Linked DNA regions of Canis lupus familiaris. The protein of the gene in region 1 purifies or fractionates together with the protein of each later gene. This does not show direct contact. Links are inferred from orthologs where the notes say so. Each region holds a gene or a part of one and is shown in the gene's direction. Other genes may lie near its edges.

Region 1 (3,500 bases):
GCTTCTGCTGCACAGTCAGTGCTGTGAATGCTGTACCAGGGAGCCATTGCGTAGCAGGTGCAGCCTGGAGCCGCGGGGAACTGGGTCAGTAGGACCCACGGGACACCAACAATATGAGTGCTGATATGACCCCGGTGGATTGGGTTGCCATGGAACTTGGTCTTCTTTGTCTCCAGGCTTGTTGGCCTGTCCCTCAGGAGGCCCTGGTGATCCCTTGGGCTGTTGAGCAGGTCTCCTCAGGGCCTCCCCAGCCCATTCTCTGAGCTGGATGGTCCCCAGGGAGCATGCAGGCCACGCCCACATTGTGCAGTCCGTCAGCCTGAGGGGTTCAGGGGTGCAGGAACTGGCTAAAGTTCCTGCAGGAGGAGAGCTTGCAGAGCTGGGCTTGGGGCTCAGGGCCGGTAGTCTTGCCTAAGGCCTCAACCAGTCAAGAACACTTTTCCCCATCCATGGGTTCCCAGAGGAAGTTCTGGACTGATTCCAGGGCCTGCAGCATTCCCTGGAGAATATCCCAAACCTACCTTGCCGGTATATCCAGAATCACACAGTATCAGTCATAGCGGATGTGGTGGGATGACCTGCCTCATTCCCAGCAAGAACATACTTGCCTCGTTCACTTACCATGGACCCTGATGACCCCATCATTTCCAGATGAAGAAATAGGGCACAGAGAGGTTAGGTCATTACCCTGAGGTGATATGGCCGATGAGGGTAAAGGTGGGATCTGAGTTCGGGGAGTTTGGCTCCAGAGCCCACTCTTAACCGCTGCGTCATACCCTGCCTTGCTCATGCTCATAAAATGCTTTGGGAAGGTTGATGGAAGGGAAGGTCTGGGAAGCTCTTAGCATTGGAACTGTCAGAGTCAGAGCCTGGTAAACTGGGACCCAAGACTCAGGGCCATGGTGATTTCTCTTTCTAATCATATCCATACAACAGCCTGAGAGGTCTGCCTTCTCCCTGTTTTGCAGATGAAGACGTTGAGGCCCAAAGAGGGGAAGTCAGTTGCTTAGGGTCACATAGCAGGGAGACGTGGAGCAGGGCCTCTAGTTCAAGACCCCTGACCTGGTGTTCGTGCTGAGACCTCAGGCTGCTTCCCAGACCTTCTGGGACAGCCCCTGCCTTCCCCCAGGTGAGGTGATGGCCCATCAGGGCTGCCAAGATGGGGGGCATAGGGAGGGGTGGCCGTGATGGGTGGGAAGACCCTGGCCACATTTGTTGGAAGCTGGGACCAACCAGGATCTGTGGAGTGGGAGGTAGGAGGCAAAAGGGGGTGGCGGGGCTATGGGCATCACTGGAGAGTTTTCAGTTTGTTTTTTTTTTTTTTTCTGGGCCACGTGTTATCAAGAGAGGTACAAAAGTAAGGGGGTACTTAAACCAGAAAGGATTTGGGGAACACCTCCCCATGAGGTGACTTTTGAGTTGAGAACTGAAGGAGGCATGAGTTATTCTGGTGAAGTGGTCAGGGAAGAGCATTCAGGCAGAGGGAACAGCATGTGCAAAGGCCCTGTGGCTGGGTGAGCTCCCAGACATCTCTCCTTCCAGCTTCCTCTGTATCCCTGTCTTGGCTGCAACTATTAGCACCTTTCACTCTGGTGTGAGACCATCTCAGTCAGTCATGTAATTGCTCAGCAAGCCCTCAGTGAGCCCTCTCCTATGTGTTGTATGCCTGGGATATGGCCATGACTCAGATACTGTCCCTGCCCATGACCGACAGAAACTGACTCAGGGGGAAGTGAGGGAGGTTAGGGCTTCTGATTATGAGTCATTGCTTCTGTGCCTGGCTTTGTCCCAAGGAAGCCATTTATGGGTCCCATTATTATCCCCATTTTACAGGTTAAAAAACTGAGGCTCTGAAAGTCTAACTTATCCAAAAGAGGCTGGTGCCCTTCTTTGGGCCTCGGTGTCCTCGTCTGTAGAATGGTGGGTGGGGGTGGAGGCTGTCTAAAGGGCCCGGGCCCAGCAGCCCTGCCTGCTCCCAGAGTCCTTCACCCAGTGTGCTTTCTCATCTCCAGCCAGGACCATGGGCAGCAACAAGAGCAAGCCCAAGGATGCCAGCCAACGGCGCCGCAGCCTAGAGCCAGCTGAGAACACCCACGGTGGCGGCGGGGGTGCCTTCCCCACCTCACAGACACCCAGCAAGCCAGCCTCCGCTGATGGCCACCGAGGCCCCAGTACAGCCTTCCCTTCCGCAGCTGCTGAGCCCAAGCTGTTTGGGGGCTTCAACTCCTCGGACACGGTCACCTCCCCGCAGCGGGCGGGGCCGCTGGCTGGTCAGTGGGCTTTGGGAGCGTGGGTGCCTGCGGGCCGGGCCTCTCTCGCAGCAGGGCTGTGGGTGTCTTGGGCTTGGGGACTGTTGGGGGTTTCCTGGAGACTGTGGGTGGGGAAGAGCTTTATAAACTGGACAGTGTGGTGCAAATCCCACTGCCTTTGAGAGCAAATCCAAAGTGGACAGTAACAGGGTCTAGAGATATGGGCCTGCAGAGGGGAACCGAGGTGCAGGGGGCCCCGGGGGCTGTTGGCTCAGGGCAGCATGAGGACTGGGTTTGAGGCGTTGCTTTTTGCTCTGGGCAGCCCAGCGATGGGTCAGGTCGGGAGGCCTTGGGTGGCAGAGGGGGCAAGGGAGGGCAGGAGGCAGCTCTCTGGTTCTCAGGGGCCTGGCCCAGCGCCGCGATGCGCCCCTGCGCCCTCTGCTGGCGCTTCGCGGTATGGCAGTCCCAGGCCGGGGATGCTCACGGAAAGATGCCAACGTGGTCTCAGAGACACACAGCTGGAAGACACTCACACAAACACGTGCATTCTTCCCTCGACACACTCAGGGCCACACACACAGCAGCTCCTAAGATACCTATGCAGACCCTTGAACGAGATGAGCTGGAGACACCATCAAAGATGAGATACTCATAGATACACTGTGGACATAGAGACCCACTTAGGGACACATGGACGGGCACAGACATGCAACCAGGCAGATGTACGCAAACACAGACACACACGCACAGATAACCTCGTACTCCCAGATGAAGACACACACACAGGCAGTCAGAAGCCCCTCAAAGACACACACAGGGTACGGACAGGTTCAGCTAGGAGCACCATCACGGATACCCACAGGTTCACAGATGTACATACACACAGTGAGAACACACAGACGCACGGACACACAGGGACACTCACGGATGCCTTAGATACAGACACATACCCGAGTGAGACACAGACCCACAAACACACCCATTCATTTGTGATGCCCGTACTGTGAGCCAGGACTCTTCTGGTGCTGGGGACACAGCAGTATGCAGAGCATGGGGGAGAAAAACAGAGCAAGGCTCGTAAAATGTGTAGGCTGCTCGAAGGCGGTGCTGCCGTTGAAGGAGCAAAAAGGGCAGGGGGGGTCTTGGGGGGTATGGGGTGAAGGTTGTGGTTAAAATGGGGGACAGAGGGATCTCTTTGAGGGCACAGTACCTGGAACTGAGCTCTCCCCCAATACACCCAGTCACACAGAC
Region 2 (3,500 bases), on another chromosome or scaffold:
GGAGAATATTTAAATAAACAGTGGTGAATCTCACTTATTAACTATCCCGCAGCCACTAAATTACTGAATATTTTCAAAGACTTGTGAATATGAAAACTATATGGAAAAATAAGTAAACCTGTGTGAAGTAATAAAGCAAAAGCTGAGTATAAAACTTTATATATACCATACTTTGAAGCAGCTGAAAATATGCATGCATATGAACAAGGATTAAGATGAACTTGAATTCATTTTGGCCTGAATGAATTCAGGCCATTATTTTTCTTTCTAAATTTCTTCTAGGGGCCCCTGGGTGGCTCAGTCAGTTAAGCGTCTGCCTTCAGCTCAGGTCATGATCCCGGGGTCCTAGGATCAAGTCTCTCATCATGCTCCCTGCTCAGCGAGGAGTCTGCTTCTCCCTCTCCTTCTGCTTCTTCCCCAGCTTGTGCTGTCTCTCTCTCTCTTTCTCTTGCTCTCTCTCAAATAAATAAAATCTTTTGAATAAATAATAAATAAATTTATTTCTTCTAGATTCTTGTACATTCTCTTAATAATAAAACATGTTTCCAACACTCCCCAGCCACGAGACGTTTTGTGCTAATTTTTAGCCTTTCGTAGGGTGGCTTCTCATCCATACTTCAGACCTGTTTTCTCCTCGTGGTTTCAGATAAAATCTACCTGGTCGACTTGAGTAACGAGCAAGCCATGTCGCTTACCATCGAGCCACGGCCCATCAAGCTTAGCCGCAAGTTTGTCCCTGGCTGCTTTGTGTGTCTGGAGTCACGGACCTGTAGCACCAACCTCACCCTGACAGCCGGCTCCAAACACAAGATCTCTTTCCTTTGTGATAACCTGACTCGCCTGTGGATCAACGCCGAGAAAACCATAAGTACGTCCCCTTAGTTAGCACCGTCCTCCGGGGCCCATGGGCAAATCTCCCTGCCGCGCCTTATCTTCTTAATGGGGTCTGCTGAGTAGGTTGGAATAGTGCACCCTACAGTGCAGGGTGAGCAAGGGCAACCAAGCAGCGAATGGTGAGGTGGAGACGTCCCCCACTAGGACCAGAGCCTCAGCTGGAACGGGTGTCCTTCAGAAGTGCATTGCACTTCCAACTTCATGCTTGTGTCCTCTGCTTAGCCTTCCAGCATCTTTCATGAGATCCTGTCCTCTGTGTAACCGCCCCACCAACCCACCCCACCCCCGCTTCCATGTTCAATGAGCCCTTGTCTCCTCTTACATGAGATTGAGTCTTGAGGTCAAGACTGTGGCTTGTTTCATTTTTTTGTCCCTGTGTCCCCTGGTAGTGCTGGACATGTATTAATCATGAAATAAATGTTTGATGAATGGAGGGCAGCAAAACCCCTAGTCACCTCCCCACTGGGCCACCATGACCTCTGACATGGATGTTTAGAGTTTCTATAGATGTGGCAGCAGAGGCCACAAGACACAAGACAGCCAGCCATGCTAAGAAGTGACAGATATCTCCCCAACTCCATCCCTGCTCTGCCTGCTGCACAGAGCCACCTCCCCAGAGTCAGTCGGGGATGCTGGGAAGCAGGGTGGAGGAAAAACCTATGCCCTGCCCATACTTAGCATCTGAGACTCAGATACAGAGAAGAGAGGCTGACACACAGGAAGAGAACGTTTCAACCCTAAATACTCCCCAGAGGTTGGTCTGCCAGTTTAGGGCAGAATAAGAATGTGAGAGGGTGGGCCAGAGGGGCAGCTAGAAAAAGAGCATGGAGAGAAGGAGGCCAGGAGAATGGAGGACAGAGTGGGTGGGGAGAGACCAAAGGGAAAAGCCAGAAAGTCTAGGATGGTCTCTACAGCTGGGGAGGATGCACTCCCGCTCTCCTCCCTGCTGGTAGCACGAGCCCCTCTTTTCCAGGCTGCCTGGACCACCGGAACTGCCGGAGGAGGCCCTACTCCCTCCAAGTGCCTGTGGACATCCTCCAGCTGCCTGTGCAGCTGCACGACTTCTCCTGGAAGCTGCTGGTGCCCAAGGACAAGCTCAGCCTGGCACTGGTGCCTTCCCAGAAGCTGCAGCAGCACACACAAGAGAAGTTCTGCAACACGAGCTTCAGCTACCTGGTGGCCAGCGCCGTCCCCGGCCAGGATCTTTACTTCGGCTCCTTCTGCCCTGGAGGCTCCATCGAGCAGATCCAGGTGAAGCAGAACATCTCGGTGACCCTCCGCACCTTTGCCCCCAACTTCCAACAAGAGGTTTCCAGGCAGGGCCTGACCGTGTCCTTTATACCATACTTCAAAGGTAAGGAGGTCTCCCTCTCTCTCTCTCTCTCTCTCTCCCCATCTTCCTGCCCCTTTCTTGTTTGGGGCATCCATCTTATTTTGCTTTGTGATCGTCTTAATTAAGCTGTCAACTTGAAGAGTAGGGAGAGATGAGTGGGTTGGTCCTCTCACAAGATGGTGCATCCTCATCCCAACTCTTCCATTAACCTACTGTGGAAAAATCCCAGGAGTCAGAAATAAGACTCTGAAAGTGGGAGGTGACAGTTGGCAGCAGCAGAACAAATAATCAGGTTCAAGCCTTTTTTGGAAGCAGGCAGGGGCATACATGAGAGCTAACCAGATATTCCCGAATCTTGGATTTTTTAAGGTGGGAGCATAAAAATCCTTATGCAGGCATTTCTGTGAGTCCACTTTGACCATTCGGAAGGTGGTGTGGAGTGCACAGAGGAAGGCAGGTGGGGGAGAGATGGGTCTCCAGAGTGCCAGGGTCCTGTTCCCAGCAAAGAAACACAGCCCCTCCTGCCAAGCAAGTGTTTGATCTTCAGGGTGCTGGGCAGCCAATGGGATCTAAATCCTTTGCAACGGGAAGCTCTCTATGGTTGGTTTTCAAAGTCACAGTTGCCATTACAAGTTGCTCAAAGTCAGAGGCCACTTAAAAATTGACCAAGACTTTTATCTGAGGTTTACTTCAGATTTTGTTCCCAGAGGCCTTAGTGGGGAGGGAAGAATTCTTTGGCCATAAGATTAAGGTTAGTCCAGGCTGCCTGATATCTCTGCAGCTACCCAAAGAACTCCTCCTGGGGAGTCTTTGAAAACAAGACATACCTTCCTCAGTGTAGACTGTTGGAGTTGATCTCACCGGAAGGTCAGGTGACATGTTGGGGGTCTTTTGCTTTGCAATTCTGTTCTTCCCAGAACCGGAAGTGATTTAATCTCTGAAACAGAAACCAGTCCCTACCAGTCCCACTGTAGAGCAGAGCATCAGGTAGATGTTAGCTATGTCGAGGGCGTTTCTGAAAGGAAGCTTTCAGAAATAACCAGCGGTTTGGCAAACTAGCCTTGGGTTATTTTTTTTGGTTGGTTGGTTGGTTGGTTGGTTGATCGATTTTGTTCAAAAGACCTGAGCACTTAACCTGAGACTCTCACCTTGTGCTGACCAACAATTACTAGCCACGTGTGGCAATTTATGTTTAAATTAATAACAAAATTAAAAATGTAGCTCCTCTGTCAAGCACATTTTGGGTCTTCTACAGACACACATGGCAGTGGCT
Region 3 (3,500 bases), on another chromosome or scaffold:
AGCAGCCAATGTGTCAGCTTTGTACAAATGCGAAGCCGTCAATAAAGTTGGGAGAGGAGAGAGGGTCATCTCCTTCCACGTGATCAGTGAGTATTGCTCTCCCTTTGGGGGGGGGGGGGTTAGATCTCTTGCCAAGGGGGCACTAGGCTGTCTGATGCTCTGTGGCCCTTGCCATTCCGGAGTGGCATGGTGTTTCGGAAGAGGACTTGGGCTGATTGGGGATGCTTTGGTTCATAAATGAAGACTCCTCAGCTAGCTGTTGGGTGCGTGGGAAGTCGGTAGAACTGACTCTCCCATTCCCTCAGGGGAGAGGATGGTTTTGCATATTTTTTTAGCCACAAATCCTGCATCACGGTTATGGCTCCACCATCCTAGTCTAGCACAGCGCTTGGCTTCTTGGGGTTCCATCAGTATTGGTGGGCTTGCTGCTGAGCTGTTGACAGTGTTGGGTTTTCCGGAGGCAATTGCAATGACACAGAGGCAGTTTCTGCCCAGTGCTGCTGATTCTGATTGTGCATCTTAATTTTATGGTTAAGCTTTAGCTGACCGGACTAGGTGGTCAAGAGTTCAGTGCGGGCTAATTTGTTGTCATAAATATAGCTTCAGTGTCATTGAGTGTGATGTGTCAATGAGGAACTAATTTTTAAAGTTCCTTGGTATAATTATCTGCTTTCAATATGTTTTGGATTTTTTTTAATCTCTAAAGCTGTGTTTTGAGCCCAAAGTAGAGACTTGATACGTATCTGAGGAATGCATCTTGGTAAAATAATACATTTTGGAGCCCGAACTGTCTAGTTTGGTAGTCTCCTTGTATTCCTTTGCTGGGATTGCTAGGGCTTCACTTCTCTTGGTGCTTTACAGCAGTCTGAAGGCAACAGGAAGACAATAGTGTGCTGCCCAAATTAAATCACCATTTTCTAACCGTAGGTTTTATATTTCAGGGGGCCCTGAAATCACTTTGCAACCGGACACCCAGCCAACCGAGCAGGAGAGCGTGTCTTTGTGGTGCACTGCAGACAGAACTACGTTTGAGAACCTCACGTGGTACAAGTCTGGCCCACAGGCTCTGGCAGTCCATGCGGGAGAGGTGCCCACACCTGTTTGCAAGAACTTGGATGCTCTTTGGAGAATGAATGCCACCACGTTCTCTAATGGCACAAGTGACATTTTGATCCTGGAGCTCCAGAATGTGTCCTTGCAGGACCAAGGAGACTATGTGTGCTTCGCTCAGGACAGGAAGACCAAGAAAAGACATTGTGTGGTCAGACAGCTCACAGTTTTAGGTAAGGAGGCAATTTTGGTCATCAAAGACAGTTGGAAAGCCTTCAATGTGGTACTTTTAGGGACTGTAAGATCACTGTCCTATAGGAGCATAGGAAGTAGACTGGTGCACACTTGCCTTATTCACCGAATGTTCTGGAGGCAGAAAGAGGCCAATAGTGGTGAAGTGATGTATTAAAAAGAGAAAATAACATGTTCCTTTCTAGCTCTAATGATAGGACTTCACTATTATCTACAAGAGATTAGCTTAAACTGGGGAAATTCCTGCTTTATCCTTGGCATTTGTTTATTTTAGTAGACACGTATTCATGGAATGCCTACTATGAGCTAAGAAGGTTCCAGAAGTTCACAATGGTAAGTAGGTAGACAAGATGAAAACACAGGCAACCACGGGGCAGCCATGGCACATTGTGGTCTTTGTGTCCATGAGGATGGGATTTGTTTTCTCTTCCTCCTTGCTGTAGCTCGCATCACAGAACATAGTGGCACATAGTAGGTGCTCAGGAAGGCATCTGCTGCATGAAGAGTTATTTAGGACCTGGGAGAGCCCGTGGGAGGGGTGCTGCACTCACAGCTTGCACCTCTGGGTCATCCCATGTAGTCCAACGTAGGGATCAATGGGATGATCATTTTAATGAGCTGATAGCTTTGTAAAATGCCCCAGGGAGCCACTCTCCACACCTCATCTAAACCCGTGTCCTGCACAGGAGCTGTGCAGCCATGCCTCTGTCTCTGGGGAAATGAGACAGATCTGGAAAGTTCTCTTTGTGTCCACTCTCTCCATTTTCTCCCCTCATGAGTGTCCCTTCCCAGTTTCTGGGATGCATGTGTTCTCTGATTTTACTCTTAAGAAGGGCAACAAACTGCCCAGGTGAATGAATCTATACCAAAGTTTTAGAGGAATAATATCTTCTTCAGAGGCCTTGGCAAGTTTAAGAGGTATCTTCAGACAGACCCTAGGATAGTATTTGCTGGTGTTAAGACTTAGGTGTCAAAAGAAGGAATATTTTAGGGTGAAGTCATTGCCAGGGCCCTTCATATCATATCACATACATGGCCATGTGTTTTCTGTTCACCTTGGTGACTGTCTGGTTTCAAATTAGTGGAAGAATTCAGAGAGAGATGTGAAGGGGCCATGCCCAGGAAATTTGTGCTCACAATGAGCTGCTTTGCTTTTCTAAGAGCTCCTAAGTTGTTTTCCTAAAATTATTCTTAGAAACAGACCAGAGCCCAGGATATTTGTTAAGCCCTAATGTAGTTCACCAATGAGGTAATCTCGTTTTGCTAAATATTGAAGTGGATTCTTTCAGCAAGATTCCATTTGATTGCTGTGGACAAAATATTTCTATATTTTGAAAGTTTTGCTATACATTGAAAGAAATACTCGTGGGCTTAATTTTCTTGAGATCTTTGACTTTCTTTAGGGATTTCTGTGTTGCTCTTTTGTGTTTTAGTGGGAATGGCACTGGACTAGGCTTTCAGTCTCACCAGTTTCTATTATTAGGTCAAATGCTTACTTAGTTATAAGGACTTGGATGAATCATTTACCCACCCCCCCTGCCCCATGAACTGCAGTTCTTTCCTCTGTGAAATAAGGTTAATATTCTTGTCCATTCCAGGGTTGAAAGTGAGCAACAGAGATAGTATAACTGAGTTTTGTAAAAAAAAAAAAAAAAAAAAAAAAAAAGCCAAATAAATATAAGGTATTCTTTGTTGAATTACATTGAAGTTTCGCACTTTCCAAGAGAAACATGGCAAACTTCAAGGGTGTCACTAGCTGGAACTTTCGTGGGAGGGAAAGTTTCCCCTTGGGGGAAGCCGTGTCTAATTAGGAAAAACCCATAAAGGTGACAACCTTCATTTTGTGATGTGACAATCAACTAGAGTCACTAATAGGAATGTTCATAGAGGAGCAGTGACTTATCTCAACTGTCCTGACCTGTTTCATTTGACTTTACCTGGTGACCAATGGTATTGTCATCAACCTCTGTGTATTTGCAGCTTAGGAAATCAGTGGCTTACTGTTTACTAAGTTTAAACTATTTATCAGTTAACTGATGCTAAAACCATTTCAAAAGTTATAACTGAATGTTGTGTGATTTTTGTGTGTGTGTGTGTCTGCATAGAGCGCGTGGCGCCCATGATCACCGGAAACCTGGAGAATCAGACTACAAGTATTGGTGAAACCATTGAAGTTTCATGCACCACATCTGGGAATC
Region 4 (3,500 bases), on another chromosome or scaffold:
GCGGGGTCGTGAAGGTCAATTGTTCTGTCCCAGAGGAAAAGCCCCCGATACATTTCACAATTGAAAAACTCAAACTAGATACGAAAGGTTTCAAGCAAAAAAGAGAAAAAACTTCTCCCAACCGGAATTTCATGATGCTGGAGTTCACAGTGGAGGAACAGGACCACGTTATATTTTTCCAGTGCCAAGCCAGGATCATTTCTGGGACCCACATGGAGACCTCTAGAGCCATCAAGAGTGAACTGGTCACCGTGACGGGTTAGAGTCCTACTCTCCTTTTTATCACTCTTTCTGCCTTGCTGGTTTGGGATGGGGAGAAAGACCCCAGAAATCAGGAAGGGGGGTGGGGCCTTCTGGCTGGGCTTCTGTTTTCAAGACTGTTCTTAACCACTTCAAGGCTATGTTTATAGTTTAAAATATATGTGTGTATATGTGTGTTTGTGTGTACATGTAAAATTTCCCAAACAAAAGTTTCTCAAATAATACTTAATATATGAGGCATTTTGCCATTTTCTATTCGTTTGTATTTCAGTTTTTTAAAACACTGGCCATGACTCCGTGAAATGATGCATTGTGTAACCTGCAGCTTGGAAATCATGGCTTTAAGCCAACAACCCCCAAGCCTGGGTCAGACACCAGGAGGTGGAGTCTGGAGGGGATAGGGAGGGAAGGGAGTTCAGGTCCTCCGCCTTTGCCTCCCACATTTGATAAAAGACTCCCCTCTTCTACCCACCCCTTATCACCAAGATGTTGGACAAATAAGAAATAAATGAGGTGGCCTGAGGAGTGCTCTGGAGTGAGAAAGACAATAGCAGAGGGAAGCCTGGGACTGTGTATCCAGGATCAAGAGAGCTCCAGGACAGGCAACCCGCAGAATGGGACAAGGACTCGTGAGCCGAGAAGAGTCAAGGGAAGGCACACTCTAGTGCAGATAGCCTCAAGTCTTTTCTATAGGAGCCTCAAAGTTTGTCATAAATACCCTTCTGCTTTTGGTACCTATTTTCACCTCTGCCCATTGTGTGTGTGTGTGTGTGTGTATATATATATATACACACACACACATATATACAGGTATGAAATTATGTATATGTAATATTTTTCTGATTATAATACATGGTGTGGGTTCAGTTTTCAGAAAATATGGCACAATGTAAAGGATAAAGTGACAATCATTCATAGTACCACTGCTCAGAGAAAATCACTTGTAGGTCCCAGACTGGTTCTGCTTATACATTCATGCACGCACACAATTTTTGTTTGTTTTTCTTTGTTTTTACAAAAAACACAACCTGACCAACATACTGTTTTATAACTTTTCTTTAACTTATCAATATGTTACAAACTTTTGTCTGTATCAAGGAATACAGATGTAGGTCTTTTTTTTTCGTGGTACCTCAGAATCCTATTATAGGTATGTACCATAATTTACTAGTACCATTATTTTTCCAGTGGTAAACATTTGGGTATTTTCCTAATTTTTTGCTATTAAAACAACCCTGGAATACACACACTTACACTTATCATTTGTACTTTTGCAAATATTTTATTTCATTATTATTTATGACATTGATTTCTGGTAGTCAAGTTGTTGATTCAAATGTTTGTGCATTTTAAATATTGATATGTATTACCAAAGCACTCCTCAGATTGGTTGAACATGTCCATCAAAAGTGATGCTAGTGTTTATTTTCCCACAACCTTGCTCTCAGAGTATTATCTACTTTCATTATTTTTTTGTCAATCTAATTGAGGCACAGTGATATATTGTTGTTCTTGTGATTTGTATTTCTTTGGCTTTTACTGAGGTCGAGTATGTTCTCTGTGTTGATTGACCAATTACTACATTTCCCCCCATAAACTGCCTGCTCGTATGCACTTGGCCCATTTTTACTGTTTCTGATTGATTTGTTTGAGTCCTTTATAAATTAAAGGCATTAACTCTTTGTTGAGTACTGTGCAAATATTTGCCCAAGTTTGTCATTTGTCATTTGTCTTTATTTTATAAGCTTTTCAAGCAGAAGTGTTTCATCTCTGTATAATCAAACCTATCCATCTTTTTCCTTTTGGCATCTCAGTTTCGTGATTCACACCTGAAACTTATTAAAGAGTAAGATGGGAGGGAGCATTAGAGCAACTTAAGAGAAGGTTTTTGAGAGGAAAGTTTCAATTTTTTTTAATTAATAAGGAAGGACAGTAATTGGCAAAAAAAAAAAAAAAGATTAAAAAAAAGGGGGGAGGACATAAGTGCCTCTTCCTCTTGTCCAGATTTGAGCCTGAGTCCAACCAGTTTATCCTCTTCTTGTAGAATCCTTCTCTAATCCCAAATTCCACGTCAGCCCCGAAGGAGTGATCACAGAAGGAGATCAGCTCTACATTAGGTGCACCATTCAAGTGACACATCTGGTCCAAGCATTTCCAGAAATCATAATCCAGAAGGACAAGGCAATTGTAGCACACAAGAGGCATGGTAACGAAGCCACCTACTCAGTGATGGCCATGGCGGAGCACAATGGCAATTACACATGCAAAGTGGAAGCCAGCCGGATATCCAAGGTCAGCAGCATCGTGGTCAACATAACAGGTAGGGCTGCTGCTGGAGGGTGTGGGAATATGATGGGCTTAAGCAGTCACCATGCTGGAATCCAGAATGGCCAGTGAGGGCTGATAGTTCTGTTCCTGCTTGTCTGAATGATGTACTCAAATGGGGTTGTGGTGCTCAAGTGAAAAAGTCAATGCTGAGCCAGTAAGCAGTTAAATGTGGTGGTTGAGTGTGCAAGTTCTGGCATCAAATCCCAATACTGTCACTCATTACTAGGTGACTTACTGAGCTTCTCTGTGGCACAGATCTATGAGATGGGGATAATGACAGCAGTCACCTATAGGACTGTTACAATGACTAAGTGATGTGGCTCTGCTATAAAGAGCCTTATACGGGGATCTCTGGGTGGCGCAGCGGTTTGGCGCCTGCCTTTGGCCCAGGGCGTGATCCTGGAGACCCAGGATCAAATCCCACATCGGGCTTCCGGTGCATGGAGCCTGCTTCTCCCTCTGCCTGTGTCTCTGCCTGTGTCTCTGCCTCTCTCTCTCTCTGTGTGTGACTATCATAAATAAATAAAGATTTAAAAAAAAAAAATAAAGAGCCTCATACGGAAGAAGCACTCTGTGAATGTTAGTTAACATGTCTATTATTATACCACATTTATCTTTCCTATGTGCCAAGCACTAGCCTAGATCCCAGACATAGGTCCTAAGATAGGGTCAGGAGTGAGAAAGCATTAATAAATGAAAAAACAATAGTAACAATTCCCTTTTGTTGAACACTATATGACTGGATTATATACATTTTCATTTCATGCTTATAACAATGCTATGAGATAGGTGTCATGATTCTGCATTTATGGATGTGGAAATTAAGGCTGAGGTGTTAGGTCACTCACCCAGAAATTACAGGATTACCAGATGGTAGAACAAAAGTTATCCTCAGGTCCATTCGACTTCCA
Region 5 (3,500 bases), on another chromosome or scaffold:
CATGAAAGACACAGAGAGGGAGAGAGGCTATATATATATATATATATAACAACTTCTTTATCCATTCATCAGTCAACGGGTGTTTGGGCTCTTTTCATAATTTGGCTATTGTTGATAATGCTGTTATAAGCAGGTGCATGTGCCCCTTCAAATCGGTATTTTTGTATCTTTTGGATAAATACCTATTAGTGCAATTGTTGAGTCACAGAATAGTTCTAGTTTTAGCTTTTTGAGGAACTTCCACACGGTTTTCCAGGGTGGCTGCCCCAGTTTGCATTCCCACCAACAGTGTAAGAGGGTTTCCCTTTCTCTGCATCCTCACCAACACCTGTTGTTTCCAGTGTCGTTAATTCTAGCCATTCCAACAAGTGTGAGATGGGATCCCATTGTCGTTTTGATCTCTATTTCCCTGATGATCAGTGATGTTGAGCATCTTTTCATGTGTCTGTTAGCCATCTGGATCTCTCCTTCAGGAAAATATCTATTCATGTCTTCTGCCTATTTCTTAACTGGATTATTTTTGGGGTGAGTTTGGTATGTTCTTTACTGACTTTGAATACTAGGCCTTTATCAGATACGTCATTTGCAAATATCTTCTCCCATTCCTTTGGTTGCCTTTTAGTTTTGTTGTTTCCTTTGCTGTGCAGAAGCTTTTTATCTTGATGAAGTCCCAGGAGTTCATGTTTTCTTTTGTTTCCCTTGCCTCCGGAGACATGTCTAGTAAGAAGTTGCTACAGCCAAAGTCAAAAAGGTTGCAGCCTGTGTTCTCTAGGATTTTGGTGGTTTGCTGTCTCCCATTTAGGTCTTTCATCCATTTTGAATGTATTTTTGTGTCTGATTTAAGAAAGTGCTCTGGTTTCATTCTTCTGCATGTGGCTGTCCAATTCTCCCAACACCATTTGTTGAAGAGATTATTTTCCATGGGATATCCTTTCCTGCTTTGTCGAAGGTTAGTTGACCATACAGCCGAGGGTCCATTTCTGAGTTTTCTGTTCTATTCTATCCATCTGTGTGTCTGTTTTTGTGCCAGTACCATACTCTCTTGATGACTACAGCTTCGTTATAGAGCTTGAGGTCCGGAATTGTGATGCCACCAGCTTTGCTTTACTTTCCAAAATTGCTTTGGCTGTTTGGAGTCTTTTGTGGTTCCATAGGAATTTTAGGTTAAACATGTATTTCTGATGCTCTGACTTCTGGTTCCTTGTGGACCTTGGAGGGACTGCCCTTTTCAGAACTAGCAAATTCCTGGATAGTAAACAACTCACCTTCAAAGAACAGGCCTTTCATAAGCAAACCAACCCCAATCACATCCTTTAAAAAACTCTCACACACTGAGACACTATCCACCCGCTGTAATCACTTCAGGGCCAGGTACCAGATGACTGCAGATAGCCTCTACCGCCCCAGAACCTGCTGAAATTATTCAAAGTAGCCAGTCCTAAATCTGCTAACCCTGCCTCAGAAACTACAAAACAAGCTCTTGCCTATGTTTTCTTCTTGCTCCCTCTGCCTCCTAGGCCAACCGTTGTACTTCCCTGTGTGGCCTTGCTTGGCGCGGCGCATGTCCCCTCCTCTTGGGAACTGTCAATAACTAGCTACCTCTTCAATAGCAGTGGTCTTCCATCTGTTGGCCCCACCACACCAAAATAATTTAAAAACATTTCCATTTCCCCATCTGGAAAATGGAATCCACCCTACAGAAGTGTATAAGGATTAGCCAAAATTCACAAAAGCATCTAGCCTGGTACTTTGCAAATAACAGATGCAAATATCTAATAAATGACTGCTGTTATCAACAAGGCACAAGTTATTGTTTGAAACAAGATAATTCTTATAAACATTTCAGAATTCTGAGATCATCGTTAGATCATTAGATACTTCGCTTATGCTTTTTCAATTCTCTTTGATTGCAGAACCCAACTGTAAAAGATCTTATTGGCTTTGGTCTTCAAGTAGCCAAAGGCATGAAATATCTTGCAAGCAAAAAGTTTGTCCACAGAGACTTGGCTGCAAGAAACTGTATGTAAGTATAAGAATCTATGTGCCACAGTCCAAATTAAGTGACAAAGAGGAATCTGTTTCCCACTGTTGAAACTAGTGAGGGTGTTTTCTCTTCTTATGCAAAAGTCCTTTATTTCCCTTACAGTTTTAAATCAAAATGTAAGCACTGGGGAGGTAGGCGGGGCTTTCAGGCTTTATCAAATGGAGAATTTAAAAGGAATTCTCCAGAGGGGGTCTTAAACAGCTGTTGTGTGCTTTTGCTTTTCTTTTCCCTTCCCACCAGTAGCCCCCAGTGTTGTGGTTTCACACTGCATTAGTGTTAGGGAGGGAGAATTTGATCTTCAGCATTTTACAGTGAAAAGGAGAAGGCCGGTAACACAAATACCAACATATTGCAACTTCCTAAGACTGGATTTGAAGTCAGCCTGCAGAAGCCCTACCAAAAATGGTATTTGGGAATGAATATACAAAGAGCTTTATTTGTGTCTGGCTGCCTGGGCTGTATAATTCAACAGTCAACAGTTTGTAATGGATTCAGTGCTTTCCTCACATAGCACTGATTCATGACTTATGGTATGTGTGAATGAGAGAGCTCTGCTATTAATTTCCTACCTTGGTTTTGGTCAGTGTAACAACATAAAAGCCAGCTTAAACAAAGGATGCATAGCCTCAGATAGCGGAAATTGATTTTTGTTGAGCCTTGCTTGCTGTGTTCATCGGATGCTTTACTGTGTATCCTATTTTTCTGTTATCTCCGTGGTGGGATATGTGAATTTTCTGTAATACCCTAGCCCATTTGTGAAAGAAATGGTAGACTAACAGTCCTGTGTCATCTCTCCCCCATAAAACTGAGTATTACTAGTAAGATAACAAGGGAAGATCTGCGATTGCTTGTGGTAGTCAATTGGCAAACTTGATTTAGCAACAAAGGAAAGCTAGGAGGGGGGCCAACAAAAGAGCAATTAAAGCAAGAGATTTTCTCATGCCACATCATTCATTGATCTCTTTGCCTGGCCTGTTGAATTTGTGATATAAATGTCGAGCATTTTTGTTCAAGAATTCCCATTGAAATTTAGTGTTGATCAGTAGAGGCCAGATGAAGCCCACTCTGCAGAAGCTACAGATTTTGAATATGAAGTCCCTGTTGCTACCTATAGATAGTCAGCATCACTGTAAATTATTCTATTTCAGGCGCCAGTAATAATTTTTGTCCTTTCTATAGGCTGGATGAAAAATTCACTGTCAAGGTTGCTGATTTTGGTCTTGCCAGAGACATGTATGATAAAGAATACTACAGCGTACACAACAAAACAGGCGCCAAACTACCAGTGAAGTGGATGGCTTTAGAAAGTCTGCAAACTCAGAAGTTTACCACCAAGTCAGATGTGGTAACGTACTGATCATCCCTGACCTCTCCTCTTTTACTTTCATACCCAACATTCATAGTAGTTTTATGGCAATTTAATTTTTTTCAAAAAAAGGAAGCATTCCACACGACT
Region 6 (3,500 bases), about 7.9 Mb from region 1:
TGCAGTGTGATGAAGGACTCTTAAGAATTGTGTTAAAGAGACATAGAGCACAGGGGAGGTTACACCTACTGGAGTTGGGAGGCAGGTGTCATTTGCACTAGACTCTAAGGACACGAAACAGGTCCTGAGAGAAGCACACGTGCAGGCAGCTGAGAAAACCAGTGCCCACGAAGGTGTGACTCAGCTCAACCATATCCAAGAGCAGCAGTAGGATCAGCTCTGTGGTTGAGGCATGGGGTACAAAGGGCGCAGCACCGGAGGCTGGCACAGGTTTTGTGTGTCACCAGATTTAGACAACCCCTTCAGACTATACTGTCAGAATGAGCAGGAATTGGATTTGTCCTTATCTTCAGGCTTCTGCCCTAGGAGGCTGCCAGAGTAGGACCCTCCCTCCCAAGTTAAGCACCCCCAGAGGACTCATGCATTATAGTCCTGCCTCACTAAACTGGCACAACAAGGGTGAATAATTTTATACTTGTTAAGGGCAAAGGAGAAGTGAACTGGAGTGAATTGAGGGTAAGGGGAAATCTGGCACCACAGAGACCATGTAGTGTGTAACTGGGAACTCGGGCATCGTGGCATTTCAGATGCAGTATGTCTTCATATACCAAGCCCTTCTGGAGCATTATCTCTATGGAGATACAGAACTAGAGGTGACCTCTTTAGAAACACATCTGCAGAAAATTTACAACAAAATCCCAGGGACCAGCAACAATGGATTAGAGGAAGAGTTTAAGGTGAGTTGGAGCTGAACTCCCTCTTCCAGACTGAAGAATCCACGTGCTTTGGGGAATATGGGATGCTTGGCTCTCAGAGATTTAGCAACAAATGGGGAATCCCCTTGTGCATGGTTTTAAGAGGTGAGTTTCTGGCCCTTTACTCGTAACCTCGTCATTTTCAACCCATCCTGCATGTTAGAATTGCTTGGGTGATTCTGAGGCACCCAACCCACCCTGCACACTCCCCCCCACACACACACACACACGCACATACACAGGTGATTATAATCTACAGCAACCTAAACTTTTTCTATAAGGACCAGACAGTATATATTTTAGGATTGCAGGCTGTTTGGTCTCTGTTGCAACTGCTTAAAACTTTTAAAGAGCAACCATAGATGCTACATAAACCAATTGAGCATGGCTGTGTTTCCATAAAAGTCTGTTTATAGGCAGCAAGCCAAATTTGGCCCGTGGTTGCTGACCTCTGCTGTTGCCATTAGACAGTGGTTCTCAGCACACCTAAGGAACATGTCACACCTCTGTCAATAAAGTGTTCTCCAAAGAGATTCTGGGCAGCAGTGGGAAAGATCAAATCCCTTAAAGCAGTTCTTCTCAAACTATAACATGCACAGGAATAACCACAGAATCTTGTTAAGATGCAGGTTCTGATTTGGCAAGGGGAAACACTTAGGGCCTGAGATTCTGCATTACTAACATAACAAGACTATTGCTGGTTTATGGACTACACTTTAAGTAGCAAGGATCAGAAAGGAGCCTCAGAATCAGGAGAAGGGAGCATATGCATTTGAAAATAAGATTTTCTAAAGAGTCCAAGCTAGCCTTTGGGGTAGAACAGCAGGGAGAGAAGAAAGGCAGACACACTCCTTCCTATGAAGCTAGGATCCTTGCTCCAGGATCATATAATTCCAGTCCCGGGGAATCCCAGAAGGGTCCACAGGAGCCCACAAGGCAGTGTTCCCCAAACACTCTTGGCTTGTTCATTGAGCTTATGACAGAAGAAATAGTGTTCCAGCAAGAACATGTGGAAGTGGAGGTCAGGGCCCCAGTGAGGAACAGTATGCAATCAGAGTAGCCTGAAGATCCATGTCTGACAGGCATAATCTTGCCAAGTTACAGGGATCAGTAATGTTTCCCCTCTCCTTCCCGATTCAGAAGTTAACATCAATCAAAATCCAGAATGACAAGATGCGGACTGGAAACCTTCCAGCCAACATGAAGAAGAACCGGGTTTTACAGATCATTCCATGTAAGAGCCCTCCCCCCTCTCCAAAGCCTTAGTATTCCCTCCTTCCACTTCTGAGGTTACTAATTCATTATCGACTTGGAGACCAGAATTAGGGCACTGCCTTTTTTTTGCTCTTAGTTCTTTAGTGGCTTCTGGAAATGAGAAAAGCATGAAGGCCAAGAGGTTTCTCTCTCTCGGGCTGGGAACAGGCATGTTATTGCAGCTGGGATTATACCTACCCAGGGCCTGGCGAGAAAGGAAAGATTTAGAGAGGACAGATGATGTTGGGGAGCCACAGCTTCTGTCCTTCCTGCAGATGAATTCAACAGAGTGATCATTCCAGTTAAGAGGGGTGAGGAGAACACGGACTACGTGAATGCATCCTTCATTGACGTAAGTGATGGCTGTGTCCCCAGGACTGCCCCTGCTCCATGAGATTTGGCTGGGCCTTGCAGTGCCAGTGGGTGGGAGTATTGTGTTTGAGTCCGTCGTCAAATACAGAACCTTACCCAGCCTGCACATTAGGTCTGTCAGGCCCTAGAAAACAGAATGTGATGTGGAATACAGAGGGCACACACCAGAGTAATAACTTGAGGGGAAATTTCATAGCACAGACCATGGCCAAGGGCTGAAAGCCTCTGGCCTTTCCCATTCTTGTTTTCTTCATCCCAGCCCCAGTCCCCTTTTCCCCCACCCTTGTAGAAGGAGACCAGCATGTCAGACAGGGTTTGGTCCTTGACCAAAGGGGAGGTCTGCCTGGGTTGAGTTTGCCTCCAAGCAGCCCCATCCCATCCTAGTGGTCTGTCTTCTTCGCTAGCCCCTCCCTGATTAAAACACCTTACTCCTACCATTGACCTGGCTTGTACAGGGCTACCGACAGAAGGACTCCTACATCGCCAGCCAGGGCCCTCTTCTCCACACCATTGAGGACTTCTGGCGAATGATCTGGGAGTGGAAATCCTGCTCTATCGTAATGCTGACAGAACTGGAGGAGCGAGGACAGGTGAGCTCAGTCAGGTCCTGGGCTGTGGGAAACAGCACAGGAAAAGGTGAGGGGCTAAGAAGAAATGTTTAGCTTAAACTGTCCAAAGAGCCATATTCAAGCAGTTGACCTGAGCAGTCAGGAGTTTCTCTCAGGACTGGAAGAGCAATGCGGTCTGAGCTGCCAGACAGTTCCTGCCTCTTCTCTCCTAAAGATGGTTTTCCCAGTGCCTAGCTTTATGCACACCTCCTCCTCCCACCTCCCAGGCAGGGCAGAGCTAGTGAAACGAGGGATGCAGAGCCAGACCAAGGCTCTAATGTGGAACTCCTGAGTGTCCCTAAGAAGAGGGTGCCTTGTAGGCCAGAAAAATGAACTGTGGGAAGATGAGTGGCCTCTTTGCAGACTACAGAAAAGAAGACAGAAGAACTTGAGAAATAACTTAGATGTTTCTTCTGTTAAAATTCAATAGCAAGGAAATCTTTTAAAGAAAAAAAAAAAAGAATTGTCTGAGAATTCAGAATGTAAGGAACCCTAGAGGCCCTCTTGGGTC
Region 7 (3,500 bases), on another chromosome or scaffold:
TTTTTGTTTCCCTTGTCATAGATTCATTGATCATATAAGCATGGGTTTACTTCTGGGGTCCCAACTCTGTTTCATTCATCTGTGTCTGTTTTTGCCAGTACCATAGTTTTGATCACTACAGCTTTGTAGTATAGTTTGAAACCTGGGCTTGTGATACCTCCAACTTTGTTCTTTCTCAAGATTGCTTTGGCTGTTTGGGGCCTTTTGTGGTTCCATACAAACTTTAGGATTTTTTGTTCTAGTTCTGTGAAAAATTACATCGAATCTGTAGATTGCTTTGGATAATCTGGGCTTCTTCACGTGCTTTACATCCTAGGAACCACAGGATGAAAGTCGTAGCATTTATATTTCCAGAAAGTGTAAGCAGATGCACATGTATACGTTTATTGAGGAAAGAGCCAAAGGTTTCATTATATTCTCAAAGTGTTTTGTTACTGAAAAAGGTTAACTGTTGCTTTTCTGTAACTAGTACTTAATGTTTATTTTGATGAATAGTTCTCAGGTGCCTTCTATGTCTAGGTTATTGTGCTTATGGTTATTTTTTATGGAAATATTTTACATTCTTGTATGCTAATACAACTAATATGTCTCTGTTCACAGATTCCATGCAAGCATGTTTTTTGCTATGACTGTGCTATTTTACATGAAAAAAAAGGAGATAAGATGTGTCCAGGGTAAGATTATCATTACATTTTTAAATAATAAAGTTTGTGATGAGATGAATTGTAATCTAGGTTAAAGGCCTGGGTATGATATAAGTCAGCAGCAGGATATCAAATATGCAGACATGGCTGATCTTTCTTTGTGAGCCCAGAGTTGGCCATAGCCTTCTCCTTAGGATAGGGCTAGATAGCTATTTGTCAATTCAGATTGGCCAAAACAAACAACATTTGTCATCACAAAATTACTATTATAAATGAGAACAGTTTTGTTTTGTTTTATTTTGTTTTGTTTTCTGATGGGATACGTGAGAGATAGTATCAAGCAGTGATTGAGAACAGGGACTTTGGAATTAGAATTCTTGGCTTCAAATCCCTTTTCTGACATTTATTAGCTATGTCCCTGGTTGTTTCTTCATCTGTAAAGTGGAGCTAATAATAATATCTACCTCCCTGTGTTGTTGTTAGAGCTAAACTAGTATATATATAGTACCTTACATTTGATAAGTACTGTGTTAAGTATAAGTTATTATTTATTACCTCGAAATCTTATTATTTATGTCTGGAGTATTATATCTTAGAACACGATCGTGGCATCAGCTCAGATAAGTTAATGAAGAAGATCTAGAGGTATTGGTTGCTACTGATCTGATTTGGGATGATCTTGAGAGATCCAGAATAAGGAATTTTTATATCAGTTTAGAATCCCTGATAGAAGGCTAAAGAAAGCTTTGAGACAAACTTCCTTGGGACAACTGTAAGCTGCTGAGATTTTATAACCTGGGTCAGAAGCTATCCCAAGATTGGTAGTATTGGTTGATAACAGAATTACAGATAGTTCCAGGATGATTTCTTTTTTTGGTGTAGGAAGATTGGCATCACTGAGAGAGAAGAGATGATTCAATAAGTATTCTAATATTAATATTTAAAAAGGAATTTAGGTTTCAAGATATTAAGTGTAACTCCTCAGTAAGTACCTCACTAGTTAGCCCTTAGCTATTTGAGAACATAAGCCTATCTGGCTTAACAGACTCAGGTCAGGAAATGAAGAAATGGCAACCCAAGTTATATAAATATCATACACTGTTGCTTTTAAGCATCACCCAAAACAAAGTACCTTATATCCTGTTACTGTAGAGATATTTCTGAGTTTACAGCAAATTAGGAACAAGAAATGGGAACTGTGCCGAATGGGACTAAAGGGAAGCCTGCTAGGATCAAGGAGTGCCAGTCTTACAGCAAGGACGGAAATATGGACACAACTCAAAATAAAAAATATAGAGCCATTTAATATAATTTCAAAGGACCTGACACACATATTCAGTGATCATAGCTTGTGTCTCTGTATATGTAGTACTTAACTAGTGATTCAATTCTGTCACTTTCATTGTTTCCTTTATCCTAAGGATATTCTTTAAGGTAGGGCAAAATAGAAAAACACTGTGAGTTAGGTGGAATGCATGTTTTAACCCCATATTGCAGATGAAGAAATAAGCAAAAAGATTAAGTGACTTTTCCAAGATTACAGAGCCAATGCTTGACCTCATTTCTTCTGATACCTAGTTCAGTCCTCTTTCCACTATTTCCAACAGACTACAAAGGCAAATGTGGATTAAATACAGTGAATGAAAAAGAGTTGTAATTTTGACCCTGAGTCTTTAAGAAAATACTGAGTTAAATTTAGTGCCTACAGTTTAGAAAGGAGTGTTTAGTATTTTTTTAGTAGTGAAATTGTCTGGTAACTCTTCCTTAAGGGACTCTTGATAGTTTGAATTTAAATTGTTCACATTGTTTAATATTAGGAACCCTGATAACTGGGATGATCTTACTAATTTCTGTAGTCCTTGCGGTATCTTTTACTTAGTGTTATTTGCTCAGCACATACTGACTGCTCAATAAATACCATACAGGTTTGAATTCTAGGACTATGACAGATCTTTGGTTTAACCTTTCTGGATATTTTTGCAAATGGATGTAAAGCGTAGAGTTCTTTGAGACAACAAGATCATTCTAGGCCTTAGGAAGAATGGGTCTCTTTTTAAAACCTAATCTGGGGATCCCTGGGTGGCGCAGCGGTTTAGCACCTGCCTTTGGCTCGGGGCGCGATCCTGGAGACCCGGGATCGAATCCCACGTCGGGCTCCCGGTGCATGGAGCCTGCTTCTACCTCTGCCTATGTCTCTGCCTCTCTCTCTCTCTTTCTCTCTCTCTGTGACTATCGTAAATAAATAAATAAATAAAATTAAAAAAAAAAAAACCTAATCTGTTTGATGAGCACTTCTCATTTTTTCTTCAGAGTTCTGAGGTTGGTAGAAATGCTGATGCTTAATAGGGAACAGACCGCAGAATGGGAGAGAAGTTAAGGGTTCACTTTCTGTAACTATAACTTTTAATTGTGAACTTCTGCAATATTTTCCACAACTGGTTTTTAAAAACAGGCCTATTTGTGAAATTATGTGCATTGTCTTTGTAGTTTGCTTTTAGTAAATCAGTTTTTTCCCCTTCTAATTTAGCTGTAGTGATCCTGTGCAGCGAATCGAGCAGTGTACACGAGGTTCTCTCTTCATGTGTAGCATTGTTCAAGGGTGCAAGAGAACATACTTGTCTCAGCGAGACTTACAGGCTCATATCAACCACCGCCATATGAGAGCTGGAAAACCTGTTACCCGTGCTTCACTTGAAAACGTTCATCCTCCTATTGCTCCACCACCAGCTGAAATCCCTGATCGTTTTCTGATGCCGCCAGATAAGCACCACATGAGCCATATCCCGCCAAAGCAGCACATCATGATGCCGCCACCTCCTTTGCAACATGTGCCACACGAGCACTATAATCAGCCAC

What was found.
Region 2: the proteins of SRC (region 1) and CDCP1 purify together in Homo sapiens (co-immunoprecipitation; 4 studies listed by BioGRID and IntAct, with this or other methods). This does not show direct contact. The link is inferred for Canis lupus familiaris from reciprocal best matches to the Homo sapiens genes SRC and CDCP1.
Region 3: the proteins of SRC (region 1) and KDR purify together in Homo sapiens (co-immunoprecipitation; 5 studies listed by BioGRID and IntAct, with this or other methods). This does not show direct contact. The link is inferred for Canis lupus familiaris from reciprocal best matches to the Homo sapiens genes SRC and KDR.
Region 4: the proteins of SRC (region 1) and PECAM1 purify together in Homo sapiens (affinity purification with western blotting; 3 studies listed by BioGRID and IntAct, with this or other methods). This does not show direct contact. The link is inferred for Canis lupus familiaris from reciprocal best matches to the Homo sapiens genes SRC and PECAM1.
Region 5: the proteins of SRC (region 1) and MET purify together in Homo sapiens (co-immunoprecipitation; 4 studies listed by BioGRID and IntAct, with this or other methods). This does not show direct contact. The link is inferred for Canis lupus familiaris from reciprocal best matches to the Homo sapiens genes SRC and MET.
Region 6: the proteins of SRC (region 1) and PTPRA purify together in Homo sapiens (co-immunoprecipitation; 4 studies listed by BioGRID and IntAct, with this or other methods). This does not show direct contact. The link is inferred for Canis lupus familiaris from reciprocal best matches to the Homo sapiens genes SRC and PTPRA.
Region 7: the proteins of SRC (region 1) and CBLL1 purify together in Homo sapiens (affinity purification with western blotting; 3 studies listed by BioGRID and IntAct, with this or other methods). This does not show direct contact. The link is inferred for Canis lupus familiaris from reciprocal best matches to the Homo sapiens genes SRC and CBLL1.

What each region holds. Positions count from the first base shown.
Region 1 is NC_049245.1:26,566,200-26,569,699, forward strand, and holds part of SRC (proto-oncogene tyrosine-protein kinase Src), read left to right. Parts: intron 1-968; 5' UTR 969-1,129; intron 1,130-2,012; 5' UTR 2,013-2,020; coding exon 2,021-2,270; intron 2,271-3,500. UniProt on the Homo sapiens protein: Non-receptor protein tyrosine kinase which is activated following engagement of many different classes of cellular receptors including immune response receptors, integrins and other adhesion receptors, receptor protein tyrosine kinases, G protein-coupled receptors as well as cytokine receptors.
Region 2 is NC_049241.1:43,687,438-43,690,937, forward strand, and holds part of CDCP1 (CUB domain-containing protein 1), read left to right. Parts: intron 1-646; coding exon 647-868; intron 869-1,867; coding exon 1,868-2,248; intron 2,249-3,500. UniProt on the Homo sapiens protein: May be involved in cell adhesion and cell matrix association. May play a role in the regulation of anchorage versus migration or proliferation versus differentiation via its phosphorylation.
Region 3 is NC_049234.1:48,227,523-48,231,022, reverse strand, and holds part of KDR (vascular endothelial growth factor receptor 2 precursor), read left to right. Parts: coding exon 1-86; intron 87-941; coding exon 942-1,283; intron 1,284-3,407; coding exon 3,408-3,500. UniProt on the Homo sapiens protein: Tyrosine-protein kinase that acts as a cell-surface receptor for VEGFA, VEGFC and VEGFD. Plays an essential role in the regulation of angiogenesis, vascular development, vascular permeability, and embryonic hematopoiesis.
Region 4 is NC_049230.1:14,719,091-14,722,590, forward strand, and holds part of PECAM1 (platelet endothelial cell adhesion molecule), read left to right. Parts: coding exon 1-258; intron 259-2,305; coding exon 2,306-2,581; intron 2,582-3,500. UniProt on the Homo sapiens protein: Cell adhesion molecule which is required for leukocyte transendothelial migration (TEM) under most inflammatory conditions.
Region 5 is NC_049235.1:55,825,270-55,828,769, forward strand, and holds part of MET (hepatocyte growth factor receptor precursor), read left to right. Parts: intron 1-1,913; coding exon 1,914-2,023; intron 2,024-3,223; coding exon 3,224-3,389; intron 3,390-3,500. UniProt on the Homo sapiens protein: Receptor tyrosine kinase that transduces signals from the extracellular matrix into the cytoplasm by binding to hepatocyte growth factor/HGF ligand. Regulates many physiological processes including proliferation, scattering, morphogenesis and survival.
Region 6 is NC_049245.1:18,694,564-18,698,063, reverse strand, and holds part of PTPRA (receptor-type tyrosine-protein phosphatase alpha), read left to right. Parts: intron 1-587; coding exon 588-737; intron 738-1,895; coding exon 1,896-1,989; intron 1,990-2,284; coding exon 2,285-2,361; intron 2,362-2,836; coding exon 2,837-2,971; intron 2,972-3,500. UniProt on the Homo sapiens protein: Tyrosine protein phosphatase which is involved in integrin-mediated focal adhesion formation.
Region 7 is NC_049239.1:13,089,015-13,092,514, reverse strand, and holds part of CBLL1 (E3 ubiquitin-protein ligase Hakai), read left to right. Parts: intron 1-600; coding exon 601-674; intron 675-3,171; coding exon 3,172-3,500. UniProt on the Homo sapiens protein: E3 ubiquitin-protein ligase that mediates ubiquitination of several tyrosine-phosphorylated Src substrates, including CDH1, CTTN and DOK1. Targets CDH1 for endocytosis and degradation.